Linked DNA regions of Saccharomyces cerevisiae S288C. Changing the gene in region 4 together with the main gene of any one other region gives a genetic interaction. Each region holds a gene or a part of one and is shown on either strand. Other genes may lie near its edges. The genes, in order: ATP5, LCB4, DUR12 and FIS1.

Evidence for each region.
Region 1: mutations in FIS1 (region 4) and ATP5 together harm fitness more than expected from each alone (negative genetic interaction), as found in Saccharomyces cerevisiae (2 studies listed by BioGRID).
Region 2: mutations in FIS1 (region 4) and LCB4 together harm fitness more than expected from each alone (negative genetic interaction), as found in Saccharomyces cerevisiae (2 studies listed by BioGRID).
Region 3: mutations in FIS1 (region 4) and DUR12 together harm fitness more than expected from each alone (negative genetic interaction), as found in Saccharomyces cerevisiae (2 studies listed by BioGRID).

What each region holds. Positions count from the first base shown.
Region 1 is NC_001136.10:1,057,487-1,061,125, reverse strand, and holds ATP5 (F1F0 ATP synthase subunit 5), read left to right. Parts: upstream 1-2,311; coding exon 2,312-2,950; downstream 2,951-3,639. Other genes in the region: rRNA-processing protein BFR2, read right to left, coding at 1-1,499; SUR2 (sphingosine hydroxylase), read right to left, coding at 3,526-3,639. UniProt on the Saccharomyces cerevisiae protein: Mitochondrial membrane ATP synthase (F(1)F(0) ATP synthase or Complex V) produces ATP from ADP in the presence of a proton gradient across the membrane which is generated by electron transport complexes of the respiratory chain.
Region 2 is NC_001147.6:651,510-656,563, forward strand, and holds LCB4 (sphinganine kinase LCB4), read right to left. Parts: upstream 2,376-5,054; coding exon 501-2,375; downstream 1-500. Other genes in the region: GLN4 (glutamine--tRNA ligase), read left to right, coding at 1-223; YRM1 (Yrm1p), read left to right, coding at 2,701-5,054.
Region 3 is NC_001134.8:635,772-644,520, forward strand, and holds DUR12 (bifunctional urea carboxylase/allophanate hydrolase), read right to left. Parts: upstream 6,440-8,749; coding exon 932-6,439; downstream 1-931. Other genes in the region: FTH1 (Fth1p), read left to right, coding at 1-772; YBR209W (uncharacterized protein), read left to right, coding at 6,812-7,129. UniProt on the Saccharomyces cerevisiae protein: Hydrolysis of urea to ammonia and CO(2).
Region 4 is NC_001141.2:240,513-244,121, forward strand, and holds FIS1 (Fis1p), read right to left. Parts: upstream 1,264-3,609; coding exon 796-1,263; downstream 1-795. Other genes in the region: ribonucleotide-diphosphate reductase subunit RNR3, read right to left, coding at 1-196; EFM4 (Efm4p), read left to right, coding at 1,515-2,204; YRB2 (Yrb2p), read right to left, coding at 2,249-3,232; ARC15 (Arc15p), read right to left, coding at 3,486-3,609. UniProt on the Saccharomyces cerevisiae protein: Has a role in mitochondrial fission. Has a role in outer membrane fission but not matrix separation. Required for targeting MDV1 to the mitochondria.

The DNA.
Region 1 (3,639 bases), on a different chromosome or scaffold from region 4:
TGACCTAACAATCCCGCAAAGAATTCATCGATTTGGTCGTCTGACCATTTGTATCCGGATGTGATGGGGGCTTCATAATTCGCAATTGGATCTTGAACTGAGTAGTTCAATTTCCTACCCTTGGAAGCCTTAGTATCGATATTCTTCTTTAGCTTGTTGTTCGAACGAGCATTAGTTGAGGTGATTGTAATTGCTGCACTTTCAGAATTGTGAGCGTTGGAAATCTTTTTGTCAATTAAATCGTTTAGTAAAACACGGTAAAAATCTTCGTCATCAAAAACATATGGGTTTTCGGTAATGTCAATGGCATTGTTATCCTTTCTTCTTGGGTCATAGTTTTTCGGGATATCAAGCCCATCATCCGAATTCTCATTGTCATCAACACTATCTTTGACAACGGGAGAAATCAATTCTGGTAGCCTGCCATTAGCACAGTCTTTTTGGAAATACAAAGGCGTTATGTTTCTCCTGTTCAACTTTGTTCTTTTCATCAAACGGGACATATCGGATAATTGGTTTTCGACTTGTACATCTGCAGGTAAGTTGATAGCTTTGAATTTGTTAGATGATAAAGCAGCGTTACCTGATGCAGAAGAAACTTTGGTAGACCACTTGTTTAATACGGCAGTCCTGTACTCTTTTAGTTCTGAGTCTAAGCTATTAGTTTCTTGGTAAAGCTCTTTGAGAGATCTTTTTTTGGACAATTTATGCTTCGCCACCTCTTCATTTTGAGTGATATGATCGCCAAGTTGGAATTTTATTCTGAAATTTATCAACCGATTGAATAAATTATTGAACAGTTTTTCGTTTTCCTTCAGCAAACGCTTTGTTTCCTCTGAATCATCCATTTTAGCCTCTTCCCAGGACTCTGTAGTTAATGGGAGCTTATTTGCTGCAATTACAGCTTTTTGTAGTTTTATTCTCAAATCAATGATGTTGTCAAATAATTTTGTCTGTTGTAAAATGGAATAACCCTTCGAAGCATCTCTTTGAACTGATTGAGACAGTTTGTTAATAGCTTGTTTAGTCTCTTGTTGAATTAGTTTCGATAGTGCATGCCTTTTCTGTTGAGCCTCCTCCGTTTCACCGCCGTCCGCGTCTGATTCTTCTTCATCAATCTCTACTTCTTCATCTTCAGAATCTGTCCTGAATGAAAGAGCATCTTCCTCTTTTTCTTCTTCCTCTTCTTCTTCTTCTTCTTCGTCCTCATTCTCGGAAACTTCTTCATATAATGCTTGTCTTGAACCTTTAACACCTGTATATTTTGGATCGTTTAGTTCTAAACCTTTTTCTGCTCTTAACTTAGACTTTTCCACCTCCAAATAGTGCGCCTTCTTGGTTTCTTCTGTGTTGCTATTTCCATAGTCGCTTAAATCACTTTCTCCATTTTTTTCATTGTGTTGAAATAAAGATGCATTTTCCTCATCTTCAATATCGAAGTCTTTATTGACCGGTTTAATGGCGATATCGGAAATTTGATCCGCTAGTGATTTTTCCATCTTTTTTTGCTCTATATTTATTGGTAACAGTGCTTATTGTTACTCAATGTATGGTACGCTGCATACCTATCAAGATGCGACTACATATATACAATTATCTCATCTCATCGCGTATTGAAAAATTTTCCATCTTCTAATTTTTCAGAACCCATAAATTCGGGTAACGATCAGTGGAAAAAACTTAAATCCGCAGTAATAGGCTTGCAAAGGACCAAAGACAGCATATGCAGCAGTTAAGAAATCTAAGAATGCATTGTATATTAGAGTAGTATATGGAAAAGCTCGGACTGGGAGCCGTAAAATCTCTTTCCCGTAAGATCTGGCTGCAAACCTGGTCTACATAAATGTAGTACATTATAAGGGACTACCAAGAAATACGAAGCGCTCAGATATCTCTTAAAGTTCATTTTTTTGCCGGAATAATCTTGGTTTAGTAACTTATAAAACTACTTACGTCCAATAAATCGTTATATTTTATGCCGTCGTCATAAAGTGGACACTTTCGAGAGACGGTGCTGGCCAATAAGATGCTGATATTTGAAATATCATTTACCCGGGCCCGGGTGGGAAAAACAAGGAATTAAAGATAATGAAGTGATCTTTTGGCGAGATAGTAAAACTTTCAATTATCTAGGAACAATTTCAAACGCCAATTGTTAACTTTGTGTACAGTATTTCTAGTTTTTATCTCATTGAAAACAAAATTCAGTCAACTTGGAAATTTAAGCAGGCTACTGTGGCATTGAGATATTTTTCCGCAGAGTAAGAACCGATTAGCAAGTTACCGCATTATTTTTAAACCGTGGACAATCATGTTTAATAGAGTCTTTACCAGGTCATTTGCATCAAGCTTAAGAGCTGCTGCTTCCAAAGCTGCTGCTCCCCCACCGGTGAGATTGTTCGGTGTTGAGGGCACTTACGCAACAGCTTTATATCAGGCCGCTGCAAAGAACTCCTCTATTGATGCTGCCTTTCAATCTTTGCAAAAAGTTGAAAGCACAGTCAAAAAGAATCCAAAATTAGGTCACTTATTACTGAATCCTGCATTGTCATTGAAGGACAGAAATTCTGTCATTGATGCCATCGTGGAGACTCACAAGAATTTGGATGGTTATGTCGTTAACCTATTGAAGGTTCTTTCCGAAAATAACAGACTGGGATGTTTTGAAAAAATTGCGTCTGACTTTGGCGTTTTAAACGATGCTCACAACGGGTTACTTAAAGGTACAGTGACTAGTGCTGAACCATTGGATCCTAAATCTTTCAAGAGGATTGAAAAAGCTTTGAGCGCCTCCAAATTGGTGGGGCAAGGTAAATCTTTGAAGCTGGAAAACGTGGTTAAGCCAGAGATTAAGGGTGGTTTGATTGTAGAACTTGGTGACAAGACTGTTGACTTAAGCATTTCTACAAAGATTCAAAAACTGAATAAGGTCTTAGAGGACAGCATTTAACGTTAATAATATAGTTGGATATGCTCAACTCGTTTGATGTTACTTTCTTTGCCTCCCTCCTAATTTTTGATTCTGTTCAAATATATATTCTTTTCCGTGAATTTTTCCTAAACATCAAAATTACGTACATATACGAATAAATAAGAAACCCCTCTAAAAAGTGAATTTTTTTGTTCGAGACAACCATTTTAATCATATATATGTTCGTGTATCCAGGCAAACTTATATTAATCGCAAAAAAAAAAATTATAAGTGTATATATGGAATAAACATAAAAAATAATAAAAGAAGAAAAAAAAAAATAATGAAGAATTCTCATCAGTTTTCGAAGATTTCAAGAAAGTCCGAAGAACATTTAAGACCTTTTTGATAATTCAAGATGTGCATGCACAATAATAACCATTTCATAGTTGAATTTTGATGTATTCTTTCGTTACAAATCAAATATATAGTCAAAGTCACGCCTATACACTTAATAATATGTCTTGATGTATATAAATGGATAATAAATACAAACGTGGGAAGTCGGAGACATTGCCTTTACCCAGCAATTGAACGGGAGGTATGCAAAAGGGTTATTTCTCTTTCTTTACTTCATTTTCAGCAGCATTCATAGCTTTGAAGTTTTTGAGTTTCTCCTTCTTTTCCAATTCTCTCTCTTGCAAAAACTCTTTGTACTTGTCGATGGT
Region 2 (5,054 bases), on a different chromosome or scaffold from region 4:
ATCTGTCATGGAACATAACTTCGGGGACGTTGTCAAGAACAGTCCATGGGTCGTTGATTCTGTTAAAAACTCGGAATTTTATGTTGAAGAAGATAAGGATTCCAAAGAAGTGTGTAGATTCCAAGCTATGAGAGTAGGTTATTTCACTCTGGATAAAGAGAGTACGACTTCTAAGGTTATTTTGAATAGAATAGTTAGCTTGAAGGACGCAACTTCCAAGTGAATGATTTAATGTGCATATATGTATATATTTATATATATATCCTATTGGTTGAAAATGATGTAATAGTGTAAATTTTTTAATTATATTAGATAATAAAGACCAACTCATAATATTGTTACGTATTAATGATATATAACTGGGGATGTATAATTATAATGAAAACAAAAATGGAATATAAACCATACTCCGATGATAGAAACATTATATCGCCTTTTCTTTTCGATGTAGTATTTCTTTTTACAAAAAAATCATTTTTGAAGGAAAATATAACGTTAATCTACATGGATTCAAACTCTGTATCGATATATCTACCATTCCTTAGCAACGTCTTGCATAACATGGGCATTATTTCCACTTGCAAGGGTTCCAAAGGAAACTTTTCACCATCCACTGAAAATAAACCTGACTCCACTTTTGGTATAATCTTATAAGCCAATATTTTTGAGTGAATAACTTCTGGCTCTAATACATGAGAACCTTTATCCAAGGATAATAAAATTGGTGTCATTCTTGTCACTGGGATTCTTGCATCCGTTATGACTAAATCAATGGTACCATCCGCTGGTAAAGCAGCGGGAAAAAATTTGGTGTCCTTAGCAATATACGGCATTTTCCCTGTGTAAAAGATTGTTAAGTTATCAGTTAGCTCTGAATCCATTTTCTCCCAGTCTCTAGGTACTGGTTCCGTCATCGGATACTTTAATTTAAAGTTGTCCTCGTTGAGAAAATTCGGTGAAAGTTCATCTTTTGTACTGTTGTTGATATTGTTTTTAGATAGTAAATCCGGCGAAGAGTTTGGGCTAGGATTTGGTTCGAAGGTTAAACATCCTTTGTTTTTATCTTTATTTTCTAAGAAATGAACTTTTAATTCCTTTTTAGATTTGGCAGCATATTTGACGAAAACTTCGCAGGGATATTTCTTACCTTGGATAATGTTGAATGCTACACCCAAATTAAACCTAACGGGACCCATCCATCTGATGAATTCAGTGTTAATATCAGATTCTGCAATAACGCCGTACGTCTGACTCAAAAAGGATAATCTTGGCCATTCGTTCATATAAGAAGGTTGGGAACAACACATTAAGTCTATTCTTGTTTCAATGGATTTGACAAGGCACAGAGCGGCGTACGATGGGTTATTTGTCCAATGACATGAAATGCTCATAGCATTTCCTGAACCGCAAGGTAGCTGAGTTACGGCTAGTTTATTGAACGCATCCACTCTGTCGGGTCTTCTATAAAGCCCATTAATTACTTCGTATGGAATACCATCACCCGAGGCACATGCAATGGTATCGTATTTGCTGATATCTAAATCTTTGGCAATATCGATGGCGTGACGGGCATATTTTGTGTATGCAATTTCTATTTTGCAGCCACTTTCCACTAGTATTGGCCTTGCTTTTGTCAGGAATAAATTTTTAGCAGTACCTTTACCACCGTGGGGATTAATAATGACTAATATCGATCTGTTTCTCTTGGAATTTTCATAACTTTTTTCCAGGATTTCTTCCACAGTACCAGAAGAAATGTTCTCCTCTCCGGTATTTGCTCTCGATTTCCTAGAAACGTGATCTATTAACAAGGTTAATTTTTGTGGTATAACATCATGGCCCTTGGGTACAGCAAAAGTTAACTCAATTAACTGTTGATTATCTTTTATCCCTAAAGATGGTGAGTTATCCTGTGAATCATCGGGAGACACCTTCACAGTGTTCGTTTTTGTATCCCACTTGTCTTTTTTGGGAAATGACTGTGATTCGCTTACAGGAGCCTTATCATTGCTCAAACTATGATTCTCAACGTCGTCATTTTCAGACGAAGAACTCAGATTTTCCGTTTGAAAAGGATTCGAAGAAATTTTGCCATTATTGAAGCCTTTCTGACCGACATTCACATATTTTGCGTTCAAAATTCTGTTGAACGGAATGGTAGTATTAAGAGGCAACAGTTCCAGGGAATCATCCTCATCAAAAGAACCTCCATCAGAGCTCAAAGTTCCATCATCCAGACAGGACAAGCAGCTCAACAAGGATAAAGAATCTCCGCTTCTGAGTTGACCATGCTTATTGAACATATGGTGTGATTGCGATTTGATCAATACACCTTCATCGGTCAAGATAGCCCTAAGTTTTTTCTGCACCACCATTATCTATAGTAGATTCTTCGCGTACTTTTCGCTGCTAGACTTTTGTGTTCTTGATAACCTCCAGGATCAGTACGTTAGACAAGGGAAAGTATCAGATGGGTTAAACACGAATTTTCACCTTCTTGTATGCCTTTCTTCCGTTAAATCATCTTTTTGCTTCAAGACCCTTGCAGCACGTTTTTTTCAGGCTCGGCAGTAGGGTGACACCCATGGTTTACAAGGCGATAAAATGACAAATGCCAGGTGGTATTGTAATAATAACGGCAAGAGTATAGAAAGTCAGAGGGGAAAGCACATTGAATGGTCCTGGTAAAGGGAGTTGTTAATGAGTAAGCGGGGTAGTTTACAGGATAGAGCTTCCCCATCGGAGGAAACTGTAAAGAAGGCGCAGAAGAGACGGAAACCAATAAAGTCATGCGCTTTTTGTAGGAAAAGGAAATTACGTTGCGACCAGCAGAAGCCAATGTGCTCAACTTGTAAGACGAGGGGTCGTTCTGGTTGCCTGTATACAGAGAAATTCACCCACAAAATAGAAACAAAAGAGTTATTTGGCAGTACTCCGAACATTGAACTGTTGAAAAGGATTGAGGATTTAGAGAAAAGACTAGATGACAAAGAGTTGACGGAGAAGGATGTAGCGCTTAGTACGAGCCCATTTAGGAACCCTTACGCTAATTTTTACTATTTACAATGTAAAGGCTCGGGAAGAAGAATAGTATATGGTCCTACATCTTTGAGAACGCATCTCTCAAACGATGATAATCGGTTTGTAAACACGTATAATCAGCTCTGGTCCAAAGTGAAAATCGAGAGAAACAGATGGAAGGCTAGGCATAAATGGACAATGAAGCCAGAAACTCAACTCCTAGAGGGACCGCCGTTAGAAAAGACAGGCTCTGACATCTTGCAACAGGTTTGTAACGTTTTGCCATCTTTTGAACAATCGTCAAAGATTATAACAGACTTTTTCAATACTGAACTGGAAACTAATGAAGTTAGTGAAGTATTAGATAAAACCAAAATAATAAACGATTTCACTTCCTCGTTTCTTCCAAGTGACGAACTGTTACCCAACGGTGAAAGGCGGATTGAAAAGTTATTACCATCGACAAAGAAAAACTATTATAAGATTGGAGTTATTTTGATGATACTGTGTATTCGCCATTTCTACAAAAATACTCCGGAAGAGATAGAGAAATTTCTCATCATGCTGACGGGACTGTCAACAGCTAAAGTATATTTCATTGAACGCGCTCAATTTCTCTTATTGAAATACTATCATCGAGAACTAATTTGGGCGTGTGGAGACGATTCGCATATGATTAGTCTAGTTGACTTATTATGCAGCACGGCAATTATGCTGGGTTTACACTTGAATATAAGAGAAATATACAAAAATCAAGAAAATATTGTGGGGAGTATGGAAAGTTTGGAAAATTTGTGGGTTTGGATTATATTATCAGATTTCAATGTTTCTTTAAATATTGGGAGATGTTTGGCGATTAACTCATCCTATTTTCAAGTCGATGAATGCGAGAATGGTGAGAGGTTGCCTAAAAATACAAACAATTATTCATCGACGGTTTTTTTCGATCAGTCAAATTCCTGCATGGGCAAGCTTAAAAGGTTTTTAAGATTAGCTCGACCAATGCTAGATCAAATTTATGATAGAAGCGCATTTCCAGACTTAGCCGAAAATTGTAAAAAACTAAGAAACTTTGTAGAGACTGAATTCCACCCAATATCATATTACACTGACAGTGAGTTAATATCTAAAGTTCCTTTGTGCGAGATTAAAGTGCTTGCGCAGGTTTTGAATTTGTTGTTGACGTTTTATTCCTTGAGGTATTTGATTTACAAGGAAAAAAGCGTTGTTTTAGAGAACAACATCCTGCAAACCATTTTGGTCTCTTTTTCCCTTGTCATCAATACGACCATACTGTGTTTTAACCTAGATGAGAAGCATTTTCCTGAGTTTTTTGATCATAATTGCGTTCATTTACCGCCATTTATGGCCTTGTCTTTAGTATACACAAATTTCCTTTTTCCTAGGGCCTCTACTGGCTTTTGTGCGTTTTTGTATCATAAGTTAACTCTTTTTGAGAAGGGCTATTATCTATCATCCAACATCAAAGATCAAGAAGTCACAGATTGGGATTTGTCAACCTTGAATATCCCGTTGGATAAAGCTATGAACTTACTTACTGCTTTCAAAATACATTCAGATATATTTGCTAAATGGTCTAATGATAACAACAAGCAGTTAAGAATTATTATGGCTCGCTCTTATACATTTGTTATCAACATCGCCCTGGAAAGCATATATAGAGCTGTTTTGGAAAAAGTAATCAAATATAGAACCGAGGTCGAAAACACATGGTTACAACAACTCCAAGACGAATTGAATGGGTCCTATTCGCTCACTGACAATGTAAATACTCCAATCGATCCCAGTTTAAGTGACCTGGGCGTCACAAGCGCCAGTCCATTGGCGGGAAATTCTCCAGGATTACCCCCGGAGGAAGTGCGAAATAACAGCGAAAACGCTTCGCATAACAATGAAACTGGGCCAATTGAGACTGAACTGGCACAGACAATATCCAACGAATTTTGGACGGCGTACAACCTTGGCTGGGAGGAACTAATGAGTCAGCCAGATTATAAATATTTATTTGATAC
Region 3 (8,749 bases), on a different chromosome or scaffold from region 4:
TTCAAAGGACAATAATTTGCTGGGAAACAAAACCCAAAAAGGTGTGAAATTCAGTGAAAAGTACTCCTTCTTCATATTACCATTTATAACGACTTTGAGAGAAGGGTTAGAAGCTGTTGTATTCATTGGAGGTATCGGTATTGACCAACCACTATCCTCGATTCCCCTCTCTATGGTCCTTGCTACTGCAATCAGTACGGTGTTCGGTATTTTTTTCTTCAGGTACTCAAGTTCTCTTTCACTTAAGATATGCCTTGTAGTCGCCACCTGCTTCCTCTACTTGATCGCGGCTGGTTTGTTTTCCAAAGGTGTATGGCAACTTGAATTGCAAGACTACGTCAACAAATGTAACGGTCAAGACATGAGTGAAGTAGGAAATGGACCCGGTTCGTACGACATATCTCGTTCTGTTTGGCATGTTAATTGTTGCAATGGTGAAAAAGATGGAGGTTGGATGATTTTTACTGCCATTTTTGGTTGGACGAATAGTGCTACCGTCGGCTCTGTAATTAGCTACAACGCCTACTGGTTGGTATTAATATGCGCTTTGAAACTGCTAATGATAGAAGAAAAATACGGATATATCCCATATCTACCTATTAGCTGGCAAAAGAAACGTATTATGAAAAGATTAAGCATTGCCAAGGCATCGCTCGATCTCAAACATCATACTTCTGAACTCAACTCTAGCACATCAGAGCCAGACAGTCAAAGACGGTCCAAAGATAGTTCTGTGCCCCTAATAATTGATAGCAGTGGTTCAGCAAATTGAGAACATAACAAACACACGTAATAATTTTAAGCTTCTTTTCATACATTTTACAGTAAATACTATGTACATATATATTCGTCATTAAAAATAGCTAGAAAAAGGCATGCTATAAAGACTAAATGAGTGCTCCTTTGATTTTAGATGCCAACAAAAGGTAATTCATGCCAATGTCTCTATGACGGCCACTATGTCACCAGAATCAACCATATCACCATTGCCATGGCAAATCTTGATAATCTTACCCGATTTAGGAGCGGATATAATCATTTCCGCTTTCATGGCTTCAATAATTAGTAGCCCTTGACCTGCTTCAATAACATCTCCAACAGATGCTATGGATTTCCAAAAACGCCCAGAATACTCAGAATATACAATTTCTGCACCTTCTGGGAAGTCTTCTTCCTCGTCAGGTTTGACTGTGACACTTTCTTTTAGTTCAGAGTTTGCATTTTGAATCAATTTGGCAAATTCCTCTGCTCTTTCACCAAGCTGGCCCTCCTGGAATGCTGTGATGGAATCTTTGTTTGCGTTGATCCATCTCAAGTATTCTTGATGATCAAAAACACTCTTTTCGATATTGACTTTATAAACACCATTATCACAATCTTCAGTCATTTTATCCAAATCTTCTTCAGAAACTGGGTAAAATTCGACTTGGTCAAATGGGTTCATCAACCACGGAACCTCAGAAGATGCGGCCAGACATAGTTTGTCCCAAATTGGTATTGTTCTACCCACTAATTGGTACCCACCAGGACTGTTAGCAGCATATATGCACATATACATACCGCCAATACCGACTGCACCTCTTTCTGTATATGTTCTACTTGGGTTGTACTTGCTTCCCAAAAATCTGTGACGAGGATCTAATGGAACAGCACAAGGCGACCCTAGGAAGACATCACCTAAACCTAAAACCATAAATCTGGCAGAATACAACATATCATAAACTTCATTCCTTGAAATTCCATTTACATTGGCAATGAAATCAACGTTATTTGGCAACCATGGAGCAGACGAACGAATTGTTTCTTGATACCTTTGAACACATGCCAAAGTCTTCGAGTCTTCGAAAGCCATCGGTAATCTTATTATATTAGAAGTTATCTTCCAATTTTCATCAAACTGGATTTCTGTTTCATATGCCACCAATACTTTAAGCAATTCTTTTTGAGTGACTTTGTAACCATCAAATTCTATCAATACAGATCTAACACCTTGGGACATTTCAACAATACCAATAGTCTTATTCTTTTTCACAAGGGAGATCAGGCATTCAATTCTATAGGAAATATTAAAATTCATTTCATTATCACCGTATTCCACCAAAACATAACGATCACCTGCTTGTCTGTATACAACCTTTGGTGAAAGCTCATTCACTTTTTCCATTTGTGCAAGAATAGGCGTTTCGAATGATGGTAAAATTGAAACAGAGTCTAAGCGCCTTAACTTAGTACCATCCAATGATTTAATTGCAACATCCTGAGATTCCTTTAAGGATCTCGAGCTTTCGTAAGAAAGTGGCACAAACTGAATGGAATCACCGGGTTTAACCTGTCCAACCTTCCACAGTTCTGCTTCTGGGACAACAGCTTGACACACAAAACCACCTAAGGAAGGACCATCGCAAGTAATAATAACTGGCTCATCACCCGTGAAATTAATTGCACCCAGAGAATAAACGTAATCGTGAGTGTTTGAAGGATGCATACCACCTTCACCACCATTACTTCTTGCCCACTTAGGTTTAGGTCCAATCAAACGGACACCAAATCTATTGGAGTTGTAATGAACCTTCCACTTCTCACTGAAAAATTCTTCGATGGACTCAGGTTTAAAAAAATCTGGAGACCCATGGGGACCACATGTTACACCAATTCTCCATTCCTTAGTTTCGGAAATTTGAGGAATTAATGATTGAGGAATATTCTGTGGAAGGCACTCAACTGATTTATTTTCTTCATTGCTTGGTAAGAATAGTACGTCTCCAAGTTTTAGCACCCTTCCATTGTATCCACCGACATTTCCTAGAGTGAAAGTAGAATAAGAGCCCAAGTATTTAGGCACATCAATGCCACCCCTGATACCTAAGTATGCTCTACAGCCGCTTGTCAACTTGCCAATGGATAAAGTAGATCCCCTCTTAACTTCGACCGGTTTGTGTTGGGGAATTTCTTGGCCGTCTAATGTACATAGAGCGGTACCACCAGTAATGGCAATGACAGTTTCACAATGGAAAACGATGGATGGACCAGTCAACGTTACTTCAATGGCAGGAGTCCTGTAGTCATTACCAACAATTCTGTTCGCCAATCTAAACGAATATGCGTCCATTGGACCAGAGGGCGGAACACCAATTCTCCAGTACCCAACTCTACCGGGGTAATCCTGAATACTAGTGTGTGCACCGGGCAAAGTAATTTCGATGGCGGTAGGCTCATATTGATAAGAGTTCAAAATGTTTGTAGAAACTTTTGCTTTAGCAAAGAAATCACTGGTAATGATAGACTTCAGGTAGTCAATGTTAGTAATACATCCGTAAACTTTTGTTTCTTCTAACGCTTGATTTAACTTGGAAATTGCATCATCACGGTCTTTCCCATGAACGATAATTTTGGCCAATGTTGGATCATATTCGGGAGAAATATTAGTACCTTTCTTAACCCAAGTATCCACTCTTGCCCAATCAGGAAATTTCACATCGACAAGTAAACCTGGAGAAGGTCTGAAATTTTTCAATGGATTTTCAGCATATAAACGTGCCTCCATTGAAACCCCATTGACTTCTACCTTTGTAGAATCAAAATCAGGTGCATCATTAGCGGCAATCCTGATCATCCACTCGACCAAGTCTAACCCTGTAACCATTTCTGTTATTGGATGTTCAACTTGTAATCTTGTATTAACTTCTAAAAAGTAAAACTCGTCCTTTTTCTCATCGTAAATAAATTCAACCGTACCAGCACACTTGTAATTCAATAAAGATCCCAAACTTTCAGCTGCCTTTCTTAACGCCAACCTCGTCTTTTCTGGCAAATTTGGTGCAGGAGTTTCTTCGATAACTTTTTGGTTACGACGCTGTAAAGAACAATCACGTTCGCCCAAAGCAATGGCCTTACCAAAACCATCTCCCATAAGTTGGACTTCAACATGCCTGGCATTTTCGATAAACCGTTCCAGAAATACACCAGCGTCACCGAAAAATGTTTCACCTTGATGTTTCACAGTCTCAAAAATATGCTCGATGTCCTCTTCAGAATCGACTTTCTGCAAACCAATACCACCGCCACCAGCAGTTGACTTCACCATAACTGGGTATTCCAATTCCGCTGCGACTTTCTTAGCCTCTTCAACTGATGTGATAAGCAAAGAGCCTGGCACTAGAGGAACGCCAGCCTTCTGTGCAATCTGTCTAGCAGAATGTTTTAACCCTAAACCTCTGATAATATCTCCCGAAGGACCAACAAAGGTAATGCCAGCACTGGTGCACGCATCAGAAAAATCCGCATTTTCCGACAAGAAACCATAACCAGGAATAATGGCCTGTGCATTAGTTTGCTTAGCGGCATCTATGATCTTATTCATGTCTAAATAAGTTTGGGCTGCGGTTGTGCCATGAAGGGGTACAGAAACATCTGCATCAGTAACGTGTTGAGAATATTTATCAGGGTCGGAATAAACTGCAACTGATCTAATACCCAATTTTTTTAATGTCTTGATAATACGAACGGCAATTTCACCTCTATTGGCAATTAACACGGTATCAAATAACTTCTTCTTTTGGGACTCTTTTTTCTTCAACATTTCAAAATATGCTCTAAATCCACCATACTTTGTGATATCAACTGTACCTTTGGCTTTGTAACCAGATTCTTCACAAATAAAGGATTTGATCCATTCACCAGATTCTAACTCCACTGAACCTATTCCTAATGGTTCAGGAACCATGGAAATAAAAGCACCGAACAGTTCTTTTGGAACACTGTACACTTCTAATTCGATTTGAGAGCCATTGCTATCTTGAACTCTTCTCAAACCAGGTTTTAAAACTGGTCCATTTTTGGGCAAAGCAAAAAGCTGGTAAGCTTTTGATGTTTTTGTTGTACATAAATATGTTGCATTGACCTTTTCCAATTGCCAATGTAGAGGCAGACCCTTAAGATGTGCACCGACAACAGCCAATTTTATGGACGTAGATGGGTCATAGTCTGGTCCCACTAATTGATCGTTTGCTGGCTTTACTGAAGAAGAGGTAAAAGTACCGTATGTTCTGGAACCGTTGGGGAATATATTTTGGAAATAGCGGTTAGCCAACTCTAATAGTGCGTAATCTGTGAATTTTTTACCGATTAAAGTAATACCATTTGGCAAACCATCGTCTCGGAACCCTGCGGGAACAGCAAGGGCTGCCAAATCTGCCAAGTTGACAAAATTAGTCCATGTGCCTTGTCTTGAATTGACTAGGACTGGTTCATCCGCAACTTGTTGCATAGTAGGATTTAAAGGACATGTGGGCACACACAATACATCGACTGATTCGAGAAGTCGTCTCACTTTTTGCAAGATGCCTTGTCTTTTGTATTCAAAACTGAAGCAGTCTACTGCACTGTATTTCTTGGCCCCTTCTATAATTGAAATAACAGTAGGGTCCAAAGATTCCTTTGGTGGTTTACTGTCCAAAAACGATTGAATAGCTTGATAACGCTCGGCCACCCAAGTACCTTCGTATAAACAGCGAGCTAACTCTAAAAGAGGCTCAAAATCAATTTCTATGACGTTAGCGCCCGTTCTTGATAGATTTTCGACAGCATTGGAAAACAGTACAGGATTCTTGGTTTCACCATACCATGGGATATTTTTAGGAATAGCAATCGTTACATTGCTTGAAAATTTTTTCAAAGGGTTGGAAACATAGGGTCTAGAATATTCATCATTATCAGGATCTGGCTGGCACATGATGCGGAAGCAGCGTTCAGCATCACTTAGGTTTAATGCAAAGATGGAGACGCAGTCTAAAGATTTACAAGCGGGAACTACACCTTGACAGGAAAAGACGCCCTTTGTTGGCTTTAGGCCAATCAGGTTGTTCAAGGCGGCTGGGACTCTACCAGAACCTGCTGTATCAGTACCCAATGCAATTGGTACGATACCTCTGGCGACCACCGATGCTGACCCAGCGGAGGAACCACCAGATACATGCTCTTTGCTAAAAGCGCAAGGTGTTTTCCCATATGGAGACCGTGTGCCGACTAATCCTGTGGCAAATTGGTCCAAGTTTGTCTTACCCACGATTATCGCACCTGCATTTCTTAGTAGTTCTACTACTTTAGAGTCTTTGGAAGGCTCATATGCAAAGGATGGACATGCAGCGGTGGTGGGTAGACCTCTAACGTCGATGTTGTCCTTAACAGCAATAGGGACACCGTAGAGAGGTAGAGTTTCTTTATTTTCTCTGCTCTTTAAAATTTGGAATTGGTGCAGTAAATTTTCCTTTGAAATTAGCGATATCCACGCATTATCGACTGGCGCAACATTTTGAGAGTCTAGTAGTGATTCAAGAAGCCTTAGTGAAGCCTGGGAGCTTGATGACTTGTGGAAATCAATCCAGTCTTGGATTGACCAACCTAACGATATTTCAGCAGTTGTATCGGAACTAACTGTCATTTTTTAATCAAAACTGAAATTTATTGTGACTATAAAAAAGATATTTCTATTTTTTATCTTTTATATTAATGTAAATTGAAATTTGGTGTATATCAGCTGCTCCACTGATATATTAATATAAGCTTATAAAAACTTGAGCCTATATGATCCTAGAAAAAAAAAGCTTAGCTAAGAGAGCCTGATATTCAGAAGTGAGCGAGTATACAAATCTCACACCTCATCTGCTCTAGTGTTTAAATACAAACATTCAATTTCCAACAACGTCTAACAAAGCTCGATTCAAATTAAGAAGCAGGAAAAAGCAAAACATCTGCGTGTCTTATCTCAATGGCTTGCGCTAACTGCGAACAGAGTGCCCTATGAAATAGGGGAATGAACGCATATTGGTTTCATTATAGAGCGTCAATCAAGAAAGAGGCACCAAACTATAAACGCACATTTCTCGGTAGGGCTAGGAACGCTTTCCTGCTTATCTTATCTGAAGCTTATTTATTGTTCGTTTTTTTATCTTATCTGATAAGGGGAAAAAGCCTGGAAAAGCGCGTAAATGATGAGGCGAAATGCAGCCAAAGATGCGTGCCGTTGCAGTTAGCTAACAACCTGGCGTTCGGCGATCGCCATAAGAGATCTGCCAATTTTAAAAAGGGTATTGCCAATACACATAGTAGCCTTATCTGCAGCAAGCCATAGGACTAATGTGTTCGACGTCGTTGGGGAAAAAAAGCAAAGAACATGTTGCCTTTGAGGAGACTGCAGCAAGAAAAAAAGTTCAATAAGGATTGCAAAAAAAAAAAGAAGCTCGCACTCAGGATCGAACTAAGGACCAACAGATTTGCAATCTGCTGCGCTACCACTGCGCCATACGAGCTTTCTATTACATGTGGGAAGACTAATATAGATAGTATAGTCAATTATACGAAGTAGTGCCAGCCCCACATATAAGAGAACGGTGGAATATTTGAACTGTATGCAAAGAAGTTTCAGCGGGGACCTTTATTTTAGAAAAAGCGAATAAATGTCGCTCATTTGTTTAAACGGTATTTGTTGGACTGAGGGTTGCTTCCATACGGAAATGCTAACGAAGAGGATGTGCTGAATTTTGCTATGTTTGGAATGGGCTCCTCCATCTGGGAATGATAATCATTTTTATTATTGTGTGTTCAAATACACTTACACATCTGTTTTTTCGTGGTAAGGAATCCGAGAATCACATGAGGTTTGGGATAGTTGCTGGCAATCAATGAATGACATCAGATAAAACGAAAGGAGAAATAATATGTTGATAATTAGAGGTTAAAAATTAGTATTAATGAAGAAATAATTACTGATCTTCTTATACTAAATAAGAGAGGTATATAAAACACACGCCGATTGGTCATATTAATCATGACCAATATAATAGTGATTCCGGTAGTTACTATACATTGATGTGACGACTCATATTCCTCATATATGTACCTACCATAACATGTTCAACTAATAGGTCTTTAACACAGCTTCAGTATTGTCTGAGCTTCTCGTTTAACATTCCTTCTGCAATAGGCGCAATCACACTTAAACGTATACGAGTTGTACATTAATATACGATGTAAGCATTGAATTGTTACCATAGCAACTCATGTCACTATTAATTACTCTCGTTCCAACATAATATTATTATGGAGTAATATCTATTCCCTTTCGTGGATTCCAAGATTCTCGAGGTATATTTCCAGTATATTTTGTATACCTGATATTATAGCCTTTAGCAACAACGAAATCAACATTTATCTCAAATTTCACCTGTTTCTCATTTTTAAGCGCCTAGCCCATCTAATCATCTTAACTATTCATCAGGGAAAATTAATATACATTGTGCTCTTAATGTTTCGAAAAATAATCAAAATCAATAGAAATAGCGTTTTGCTACTAACAAAGCCCTTTGATCCAAAGTTGGCTTCTGAGAACTTAACATTTCAGTAGAACAAGCCTCAAGCTTAAATGAAGAATGGCAAAGTAAATGAGACCTCTCTCTCCATATTTTGCTCAGAGCCTGTTAAGGAAAACAACACCGCACATTAGTGTGAAAAACTTTCCCCGCAAGCTGTTGGAAGATGAATCATTTATTATCTTTTGACTGTTAGCTACATTACTAGCTGTTATCAATCTCTCAGACGATTATATGAATATTGAGATAGTTGTTGGGATTAACTTATTGTTAGAGGCTATAGCATCAGATATACAAAATAAAATAAAAAGTTCTCCTCCAAGATATAGTGTAATCGATATTTCGATGTAATGCCATCATTATTTCTTCTATTTTATGTATTC
Region 4 (3,609 bases):
ATGCACATGTTTCAGCTGCAAGATTGTCCAGCTCAACGGTAGTAACACCGGAGTACACACCAGAAATAATACGTTGGGTTACCTTAACAGCATCAATACGGTTTGGGTCTAAACCGTATGACAAACGGGTGATACGGGAGGTAATTTTATCGAATTGAACGGGCTCTTTGCGGCCGTCTCTTTTAATAACGTACATTTGTGTGGGAGTATTTGATTTATTGCTGCTGCTATTCTTGCTTGTCATATTTATTTCAACTTGGATATGAGATGAGAGAAAGGCAAGGAAGAAGGCAAAAGAAGGCAAAATAGCAGTGCGTTTATATACGTTTTGCAGCAGAACACGAAACAATATAAAGAACGCTGACACGAAAAACGAAACGCGTCAGCATCTCACAATACAGTATTACGATTTAACAATAGACTATTGTTTTTTTCCCATCTTGTCGTTTGGTCCTCGCCATGGCAACCGGGTTTTTGCCCCTTTGAGCAGCGCCTAGGTGTCGTTGCTGCGACAACCACGAAAAAAAAAAAAAAAAAAAAACAAAAGAACAACGGCACGCAATGTTGCTGTGACAACCGTAGGCAGATAACTTGGCTTTTTTTACTACTTTAGGAAAATTAGCAGCCAAGAACGAGGGCTTGCTCTGCTACCTAGTTCAAACTGAAACAAGCCTTCACTTTCTTTTCTTTTCTTTTTTTTTTTATCTAACAACTGAAGATTAAATGATAAATGTTTACGCGTGCGTGCGATTCATTCTTATGTATGTACGTATGTGCTGATTTTTTATGTGCTTGTTACCTTCTCTTGTTTCTTAAGAAGAAACTAGCCACGGCCACAGCGCCGGCTAGTACGCCTCCAGCGACGACAACACCCTTGAGTGTTTCCTTCTGGATCTTATCCTCTACCATACTCTTCAAAGCGCCCACCTGCTTGTTATTACGCTCATGCTCAAATAAAGTGTCTACATATCTCTTCGCCATAGAGTATTCACCGAGTTTGTAGCAACCTATGGTCAGATAATATAGGCATTCTCGTCTACGGGACTCGGCCTCTTTGTAAATGTCTGTGAGGATTTTCACACCAAGCCTTTCGTCATTCACGTCAGTGGATTTGATCAGCCCCCATGCGTAGTTAAACCTTGACTGTATGGTAGCGGTGGGCCCCCCCTCGGAGACGACTTGCTGGCGCAGAATCTCCAGCTGCTGCGGATAGAGTGGTTCGTATGCGTCCTTAAGAGTTGGCCAAAAATCTACTTTGGTCATACTTATGTTGTATGGCTGTGCTCTGATCTGTGCTTCTATGTGCCGTTTTTACGCAAGGTATATGATAACTTCTGTGCAGAATAGTGGCAATGGCAGCTTTGCTTTGAAAGGGGTCCAGCCTAGCCCGCTTGCGGTGTTCCGGCATAAATGCGCAAAAAGATTGGTTCATGAAAAGAAGTGAAAAAAAATCGATGAGCTCAGCTCTTAAGAACGGTATTATGGAACGAACTCAACCCGAAAAGGTAGTACAGATGCAGGGCACGGCAGATTTGAGCACTTCGAAACTTGGTACGAAAAAATACTGGGATGAACTGTATGCCCTGGAGCTGGAGAATTTCAGGCGGAATCCGCAGGATACCGGGGACTGTTGGTTTAGCGATAGCGATGCTGAACAAAAGATGATTGATTTTCTGGTAGATAACATTGGTGCGTACAGAATTTCTGAGAATGCTTCTGTTGTAGACCTCGGTACAGGTAATGGACACATGTTATTTGAACTGCATCAAACGGAATTCCAAGGGAAACTGGTCGGGATAGACTATTCTGAGGAAAGCGTCAAACTCGCTAGTAATATAGCCGAGGCCACCGGTGTTGACAATTTCATCAGTTTCCAGCAAGCAGACATCTTTAGTGGTGACTGGAAGCCGGGAAAGTATGACATTGTGTTGGATAAAGGGACCCTAGATGCCATTTCATTGAGTGGCATGAAGATCAACGGTAAACTTGATGTAGTCGATGTATACGCCGGAGTAGTGGAAAGGATTTTGAAAAAAGACGGTATTTTCTTGATCACTTCTTGTAATTTCACACAAGATGAACTAGTAAAGATCATAGAGACTGATAATTTGAAAATGTGGAAAACAATAAAATACCCTGTTTTCCAATTTGGCGGGGTCCAGGGTGCGACCATATGTAGTGTAGCATTTGTTAAACAAAACTGATTTGTTTTTATCTTTGATTTATTTTTAACGTTATTTCTCTTTACTTATTTAGGAACGGATTTAACTATAATGTTATACAATTCATCCGTGGTTTCCTTCTTACCAGTCTTTATGGCGTACTGTGCAGGATCACCGTTATCATCTACTGCTAGTAATCTTATGAATTTTTCGCTTTGCAAAGAACCTGTAAATCCTTTTTGCACAGTGAACCCCTTGACCAGTTGGATGTTTAAAATGACTTTTAAGATACCACGAGACCTCATAACAATACGCGTCTTCTCGACGTCGTCCTTACTTTTATTGATTTTGATGATACCAACACCTCTTTCCTTCCAGCCTTCTTTTATGTTGGAAAGTTGGTACAGCTTCGCATTGACTTGATATATGCACTCCTCAGACTCTTCACCAGACTTGACTTCCTGTTTCTGCAATTTGAGGGGTTTTGGTTTGTCTTTTGTATCTTCTGAGGCATTCGCTAGTTGTTCAGATCCACTATGGACTTTATCTTTGTCAACATCAGTAGCTTTCTTTTCACTTTCAGAGTTATTTTCTGTTTTGTTTTTCAGTATGTTGAAGCCGCTGCCAAATGATAAACCTGAACCAAATGCAAATGGCTTCTTTGTTTTGCTGTCAGAGGCTGGTAAACTTTCAGTACTGGTAGTTGCATCTCCATCTTTCGTGTCCTTTTTGGCAACACCAAACCCAGTTCCAAATTTAGATGCGGCACCAAACACGAATTTATCCTCCTTTTTGTCATCTTCCACAATACCAGATTCTACGGTCTTTCCGTCGTCAACCTTGATCTTCTTATGCGATGGTTCTTGGTCTTTTTTACCTTCCTCCTTTTTCTCCTCATCATTTTTATTGGGTGCTTCTGATTTGTCACTCGTTTCTTCCGCTTGTTCATCCTGATCTTTTTCCCTCGGTCTCTTAGGAGTTCCATCTAGTTTATCGATAGGATTTTCAACTGCAGTTTGTTTCACCTCAGAATTTTCCCTGGCTGCATTGCCACCATTGGTCTCACTCATGCTCTCAAAGTTTATGCGTACTTGTTTTGTGCAAATTGATTTGTTGACATTTTGGTTTGAGTAGCAACTGAGCTTTTTAAAATCCAGGCATTTATATCTTCAACCTCGCCAAACAATGTCAATTTTTTTAAAAAAAAACTCAATACCTACATCACCGCGAAATGCCTGAAGTAAAAGCATATAACAAACGCGACCCTTAAAATTACGTATATATATGTATATTTCTTTATACTAAGTTTTACTGGGCAGAGTATCATACAGTTCTTCTATCCGATATATAATGAACGATAGGTGTGACACCACTGACTTGAGTAATTCTTTCCAGCCACGCAAGCAAGACACCCCCTTGTTTCTGGCCCTGAGGTACGGACATTCCT